2 linked regions of the Elephas maximus indicus genome follow. The protein of the gene in region 1 interacts with the protein of each later gene in a pairwise test. Links are inferred from orthologs where the notes say so. Each region holds a gene or a part of one and is shown in the gene's direction. Other genes may lie near its edges. The genes, in order: ABI3 and NUP58.

Region 1 (3,915 bases):
CCAGGTCCTTGCAGAGGAGAGTGTACCCTATGCTTAAGAGAATGGGCTCTGAAACCTACCAGACTCCAGTTCTGACCTCAGCTCTGCTGCCTCCTGGCTGTGTGGCCATAGGCAAGTCCCTCAACCTTCTTGAGTCTTACTTAGTTTCCCCATCTGCAAAATGGGTATAATACAGTAATAGCACCTATCACATGATTATTGTGAACACCAGAAAATATAATGCATATAGCTATTTTAATTCACTACCTGGAACATAATGCACACTTAATACATTTATCATTATTATTACTGATATCATTATTACTACAGAGTTATCACTACGGCCTGCCTAGGGCCTAACCTCAAGAATTCTAAGACTAGATCCCAGCCCAGTGCAACCTCAGCCCCTCTCACCTGCCAGGAAAGAGAGTACGCTTCCAAGTTCACTTGTGCTGGACCCAGACAAGATGGTGTTTGAGCTTCCTAGCTCTTCCTCAGCAGCAGAAAATCTTCGGATAAAGCAGATGGTCTGGAAGCCAAAAGCTCTGATGCCTAAGCTGATCAGAGGCTCAAGATTCTAAGCCCAGCCATCACCTGAGCCTCCAAGCCCTCCCTGCCACTGGAGCAGAGATGTTGAGGTTCTTCCCACTGTAAGCTGGGAAAGAGAGGCCACCTCCGATCTCTCTGACTCTAGCCCACCTTCTTATCACCCTGCCCCCTGCATCAGCCACCATTGCCTTCAATGATGTCCCTGGTTCAGAACCCCCAACCCGTTGCCATCTAGTCGATTCCAACTCATGGTGACCTCATGTGTCATAGAGTAGAATTGCTTCATAGAGTTTCCTAAGCTATAATCTTTCTCCCATGGCACTGCTGGGTAGGTTCGAACCGCCAACCGTTTGGTTAGTAGCCAGGTGCAAACTGCTTATACCACCCAGGAACCCAGAGCTCCCACCATTCTCATTTCCCCAAACCCCACCCTCCAGCTCTCCAGGCTCCCCTCCTCCTGCCTTGTCCCCCAAACCCTCCCCTCCTGATCTGCTTTTGTAAAGATTATAGCCTAGGAAACCCTACAGGACAGTTCTACTCTGTCCGCTATGAGCTGGAATCAAATGGACAACTCTTCAGAGGCTTGATAACACTTCTCAGGGAATCTCTTGGTGTGTCCTTCCTGTGTCCAACCCTGATTCCTCTTGCTGCTGCATCATTGTTTTCCACTGGTGGGGCACCGCCACTCCAAGTCCCCCACCAGCATGACCAGTCTCCATATCCTATCCACCCTCCACTACCCCCTCCCGTGGTGAATCATCCTGGAGCTTCCCAAGGAAGCTCCCACCCTCTGCCCTTCCTCCCCCTTCCCTGAGTGGAAAATCCAGCTCCACCCCCCATAGTAGGTCAGCCCCTTCCTCCTCAGTTCCCCACCCCATCCCCCCAGCATCCAGTTTCCTCTCCAGGACCTGGGAGCAATCACAGCTGCCCTGGCCTTGGTTTCCTCTGCTGGGAAGAATTGGGAGGCTGGGCCCCCAAAGGGGTCCCTGGCTTCCCCTTTCCTCTGGGCAGGGGACAGAGAAGCCCAGGCCCAGGGAGTAGGGACTGACTTCCTCTTGTCCCGGAATGAGCCTCCCTGCCCTTTGCAAGCAGGTTTGGGTCTCTCACACAGAGGAAACCAAAAGCAGTAAGAGGGAGGGGAGACGAAGCAACCAATCAAGGGCAGGGTGAAGCTCAAAACCAGCGGGCTCCCCGGGGAGCAGCCAGAGGCTGGGGGCCATGGCGGAGCTGCAGCAGCTGCAGGAGTTTGAGATCCCCATGGGGCGAGAGGCTCTGCGGGGCAACTACAGCACTCTGCTGCGGGTTGCCGATTACTGCGAGGACAACTATGTTCAGGTACGTGGGGCAAGCACAGGTGTGGGCACCCCAGCCCTGGGAGGTGCCCCAGGGCCCACCCCCAGGGCTGGGCCATGGGAGCCAGCTTGACAGGTGCCGGAGAGGGCTCAGCAGATGTGCTGGGCTTGGGCTGAGAAACCTCCCAAGCCAGGCTTTGGCATCATCCCTTCTCCCAAAACTCTAACCCTGACCCATGCCACCCAAAACCCCTGCTGTGTCCCTTCTCCTTCCCAGAGCCTCAGAGATGCCAGGGCCAGAGCTATTCCATCCTGGTATCCAGCTTCATTGAGGCTTATCTCCCTCTTACCCTCCCACCCTCCCACTCAAACCCAGAGAACCTGTGGCACCATCATTCCATTTTCAGGCTGGCTGTAGGAGATACTTTGGAAGAACTTCCCAACCATTGTAGTGAACTTGAGATGGACAAGGGAAAAGAGGACTGGAGTTCTTTCCCTGATATCTTGAGGGAAAGTTAAGAGATGTCAGACTAGGCTAGGGTAAAGAGGGCTGACACAGAGGCAGGGGAATGGACAACATGACTTCTGGAGCAGGCTACCAGCAAAAGATGAGGATGTGACATTTTAGAACAGTTTTTTAAAATTGTGTGGTTGTCCCAGGACTGAGAATGTAGATTCCTGGATCTATTATTGAGCGACTCTGTTATTTCATTGGCCTTTATAACTACCTAGTGAGACAAGTAATGTTATTCCGATTTTATAGATGAGGAAAGAGCAGCTCAGGGAGGTGAGGTGACCTGTCCAAAGTCACACAGTGTGGAAGCACAGAGTGGGCATCAGCCCAGGCTCCCTGATTTCTGAAGTCTAGCCCTTTCCCTGACATGCTGTATGGCTTTAAGACAGTTATTTGCCCTCTCTGTCCTCAGTTTCCTCTGCTCTCTTAAGTGTTACAGGCATAACCTGTTACAAAAAAAAAAGTTGCCGTCATTTCTAACTCATGGCGACCCCATGTGTTGCACAGTAGAACCATACTCCATAGGATTTTTTGAGGCTGTGACTTTTCAGAAGCAGATTGCCAGGCCTCTCTTCCGAGGTGTCTCTGAGTGCTTACGTGTTTGTGCCACCTACCACTTGGACAAAATTTCATTTTTCTAGCCTGGACTAACCCAACTGTGACAAGAGGCACAGGGACCTCCCAACACAGTACATGTTGAAAAAAAAAAAAAGAGCAAGAAAATGGCAGATTAAATAGAGCCAATCAGAATAACATTTACAATGCTCTGTGCCCTTGCTTTGGGACAAGCAACATTCCCTCTACTGCCTCAGTCAGTCCTCACCCCAGTCCTGGGAGGTAATACCGTCCCATTTCTCAAATGAGGAAGCTGAGGTTTACAAAGACCAAGTCACTTTCCCAAGGTCTCCAAGACAGTGGCACAGCCTGGTTTCAAACCCAGAAATCCAACTCCAGAGCCCACCCGCCAAATCTCTGGCTGAAAATGCTACCCTGGGTATAATTCTGGTCTGTGTAGACAGTGAGTGACCACCTTGTAGATGAGATGGAACATAGCTTACACACCAGCTCTGTTCTCACGGCCCTGGAAAGATATGCTCCTACTGTCAAAAGGATAAAAGCAGTCCCTTCCATTCCTTCATAGTCCCTGGGTGGTGCAAATGGTTAACATGCTCAATACAAAGGTTGGAGGTTTCAGTCCATCCAGTGGAACCTGGGAAGAAAGGCCTAGCAATCTACTTCTGAAAAATCACCCACTGAAAACCCAACGGAGCACAGTTCTATTCAGACACACACAAGGGTCGTGAGGAGTCAAGTCAACTCTATGGCACCTGGTTTGGTTTATGGTTTGGTTCCATTCTTCAATACCTTCTGCAAATCTCAAGGTGTCTGGATTTGCTCTCATCTGCACACATAGCGTGGCACGCAGGGTTTGGGGTTACAAAGACCTGAGTCCAATTTCCAGTTTTGCCATCTACCAAATACAAGACCTGTGGCAAGTTGCCCATCTCTCTTACAACCTTCCTCAAGGAATGATTACTTGGATTAATTGTGATAATGTATTAAAGCATCTAGCCCAGTGCC
Region 2 (3,915 bases), on another chromosome or scaffold:
GCCGTCCTATATCTGTCATTGAAAACGCTATCTAGATTACTGAAGCTCTAAAATTCATAATAATTTTTACTATTGCTCAATCACTGTGAATTTTTTTATACTATAGTTTAAATATATTTCCCTTTCATTTCTGTTTTATCATGTGACCTTCATAATGTTTAAAATGGTGTTTATCTATTTTTAATTCTACAAACAGAAGTGGGAGTGCCCAGTCTCAACCGGAGAAAGTGTTGCATTCACGGCAATTGTGAGAGAGGAGGTTGTACAGCTGGGTCGTGTTGAGAACTTTGCGTATTAGACTAAGGAGCCACTGGGAGTTTCTGATCAAGCGACTGCCATGGTGGCAATTATATTTTAGAAGAACAAATATGGTGGTTGCTAATGGGACGGATTTTATGGAAAGAGAATTTAGGTAGGAAAACCATTTGAGGAGGCGAAGGTAACAATTCGCGATGGAAAAAGAGACCCACATTATGACGGCGGAACCTCTATTGTACTATTGCTGAAGACTTCCCTGATCTTTCCCACAGAGGAGATATCTTCTTGGAACCCACAGTTTTCTGACGTTGGTCACGTAACTCTTAAATTTTACCTTACGTCATACTTGTCTGTATAGTGTTTTTCTCCTTTGCAGCTGTATAGGCCCTTTAGTAGGTAGCACAGAGGATATCGAAGCGGCGTCCCGGTTGGCTCTAGCTCCTACTATGCTGACACTACTGGTTGACTTGGCTAAACCATGAGCTACAGGGCCTTGGACAGTCCGTTTCCTCAGCACCACGAACAGAGCCAGCGCCCACACCTCCATCGGGCCGGTCCTAAGCCCTGTTGGTGACTGCCGTGTCCGACTATACGAAACGGTCCGCGCAAGCTATTGAGCAGAGTTGAAGCTCAGTGCGTTGAAGGGATGGGTGAATTATGATTTCCGAAATCGCTGACAGCGGTCAGCCAGTTCGCGGCCTTTGTCTCTGTAAAAGGAGGGACTTGGAGATGCTCTTTAGCGCCCTTCCCAACTCCGGAATTCTGCACATCCAGTAGGGAGGACATAAGCAATAATTGAGACGCCAAACTACAAAGTACAGACTGAGTCAGCACAGATACCAAAATAGAAGAACTAAATAAAAAATAGAAATGATTATTGGCTTTTAGTTTTTACTGTGGGCGCCTGCCCCTTTAAGGAAGTCGGTCGCGCGCTGTCCCAGCGTCCCTTGCGACGCGGGCTCGCTCCCGGCAGTGCGTGCGAGCGGCGAGCGACGCAACGGGCTGGTGCGTGCGTTGCTCCACCCCTTCGGCCTTGTCTTGGCCGCCGTTGGGGTGAGGTTCCCGCCAGGTTGGAGCTGGCGTGAGAGATGTCCTCCGCTCCGCCGCGGCGGTGAGGCGTGAGGAGCGGTCCCGACTCTTCCGGGTTGCCAACGGCCCCGGGCCCAGGGTGCAGCCATGTCCGGCGGCTTTTCCTTCGGAACCGGGACCCTGGGCTCCACCACCGTGGCCGCCGGCGGGACCGGCACGGCGGGCGGCTTCTCCTTCGGGACAGGGGCGGCTAGGTAACCGCGTGTACTCGTTTTTCGGGCCCGGGTCTTCGCCGGCGGGTTTCCCTGTTGGTCCCGACCCTCTCTTCCCGGTGGCTTCCTTCCCTGTGGGCTTACAGATATGCGCTTGCCGGGCCACCCGCTCGGTAGGCCGCCCGCTCGCGGTCCAGCCCGAGCCGTGCCCCGGCCTGGCAGGGAGGAGGGCGGACGGTCTGTGAGGTCTCCAGGATCGCGGGTGGTTCAGGCTTTGTTCCGACCGAGCGGGGCCTGGCTGGTTGACAGGGCCTGGGGTTCACAGCCCAGAGCCTTAACGAGGCGTCAGTCTTCAGGCATGGGATGAAGGTTGAATGAATGAATGAAATTACGGTTTATTGTAGGGTTTGACATGAAGATCTTTAACGAATGGAAATTGGTAAGGAGAACAATTAAAAGCGTCTTTCCGATAATTCAGATTCCACTGCAGTGTTACGGTTTTGGATGTTACGGTGCTTTAATGATTTCGTGGTTATTTTTAGCGAGCTTTTTAAGTTTTTTTTTTTTTTAAGGCTTTTTGCAGTATTTATTGGTGATAATTTTGTACGGTATGTGGGGAAATTGGAATATTTGACTAACAGTATCACGGCCTGTCACGTTTCATCATTGAGAACAATTTTCTCTCGATCACCAACGTATTGTAATTTCCCACATTGCCTTTCACTTAAATTGCAAAGCGTAGGTGACATATTCAGCGTTTTCTTGCAACCTGCGAGGACAGGTGTGACAAAAAGACAACTAGCAGAGGTTCGCAAAGATACAATTAAAACGGTGAAAGATGATTTTATGATGAGAGATTTAGCCCGTAGGCCTCAATCTTTTGAAGGTAGAGGCAGAGGAGTGCATAAAATGAAGTATGCATAGCATGAGCTACAAGATAACTCCTGGAGCTTGAAGGATGTGGTTGTAGGTTAAAAAGGCAAAAATATTTTGGGTTACGTGTATTTAAGGAGGGGGGAGTGCACCCCAGACTACACAGCCAAGATTAGAAATCTGGGGGTTTTCCTCTTTTTCTGGCACTCTATGCACTTAACCAGCAAGTCCTGGTGATTTTACTTCTGTGATTTCCGTTTTTTGTGCATTGCCAATGCCACCGTCCTGCTCCACGGTGTTGCATTCATAGAACAAATACTTACTGAACAAATTTCTATGAGCCAGGCTTTGTTTTAGGTGGTGAGATGAATAAGATTCTTGCTCTACTTAAGATTCCTGCCAGCTTTCCAACCAGCAACCTTTTTTTTTGCTAGATGAAAACTGCACCTGTATCTCCTGCATCAGCCTTTTTGCCACATGTAGCCAGAGATTTTCATTTTAAATGCGCTTTGCTACCTTTCTGTGATTTTCCATTACCCTTAAAATGAAATTAAATTTTCTTTTTCTTTTTTTTTTTTTACCATAGTCTACGAGGCCTGAATAATCTGGAATCCCTTTACTCATCTTGAACCCATCTTCTCATTTTAGTTTGCTCCCATTCATTGATCCAGGACCACTGTAAAAAAATAACATTTACATTACCACCCTGCTGGTATATACTGAGAAAGTGCTTGATGTCCAAAACCTCTTTATTGAGTAAAAGAATGATTAATATCTATTTTTTACTAACTGGAAACTTCCTGAGGGCAGGGTCTAATCTTATTTACCACTCCATCCTCAGTTCTCATGATGGTGTCTAACATATGAAAAGAGGTTTAATAAATACTTGTCAAATGCCTAAATAAATGAATTATTTGGTAATAAACTAGAAAAATCTACACAGGCTTTAAAAGGATTTGAATAAATTAATGACAGAAGACCTCTGCCCGTTAGAGTGCTAGATTGGAGACCTGACAGCTCCTGGTGCCGCTTGGTGATTTTGTCTCTTTCGGTAAGTCATTTTGGGTGACTTACTCTCCTGGCCTCAGTTCCCACACCTGGAAAAGGTGTATAATAACATACTTAACCTCAGAGGGTTTTTGAATGAGATAAAGCATGTAAAGTATCTAGCATCATGTACGTGCATCTTGGTAAACCAAGAAAACCAGACCCGTTGCAGTGGAGTCGGTACCAACTCATAGTGACCCTATAGGACAGAGTAGAACTGCGCCATAGGGTTTTCAAGGAGTGGCTGGTGGATTCGAACTGTCCACCTTTTGGTTAGCAGCGAAACTTAACCACTATGCCACCAGGGCTCTGCATCTTGGTAAGTGTTCAGTAAATGTTAGCTACTGCTTTTACTTCTAAGTCCACAGTTAATGTACTCTAAACTGAAAACCCAAACCTACTGCCGTTGAGTTGATTCAGACTCATAGTGACCCTATGAGTAAAACTGCCCCATGGGGTTTCTGAGGCTGTATTTGTTATACAAGCAGACTATCAC

What was found.
Region 2: the proteins of ABI3 (region 1) and NUP58 interact in binary tests that used the Homo sapiens proteins (3 or more experiments, as listed by UniProt). The two-hybrid records come from large-scale screens. The link is inferred for Elephas maximus indicus from reciprocal best matches to the Homo sapiens genes ABI3 and NUP58.

The regions. Positions count from the first base shown.
Region 1 is NC_064837.1:44,355,199-44,359,113, reverse strand, and holds the start of ABI3 (ABI gene family member 3), read left to right. Parts: upstream 1-1,571; 5' UTR 1,572-1,746; coding exon 1,747-1,863; intron 1,864-3,915. UniProt on the Homo sapiens protein: May inhibit tumor metastasis. In vitro, reduces cell motility.
Region 2 is NC_064841.1:56,588,501-56,592,415, forward strand, and holds the start of NUP58 (nucleoporin p58/p45), read left to right. Parts: upstream 1-1,247; 5' UTR 1,248-1,434; coding exon 1,435-1,541; intron 1,542-3,915. UniProt on the Homo sapiens protein: Component of the nuclear pore complex, a complex required for the trafficking across the nuclear membrane.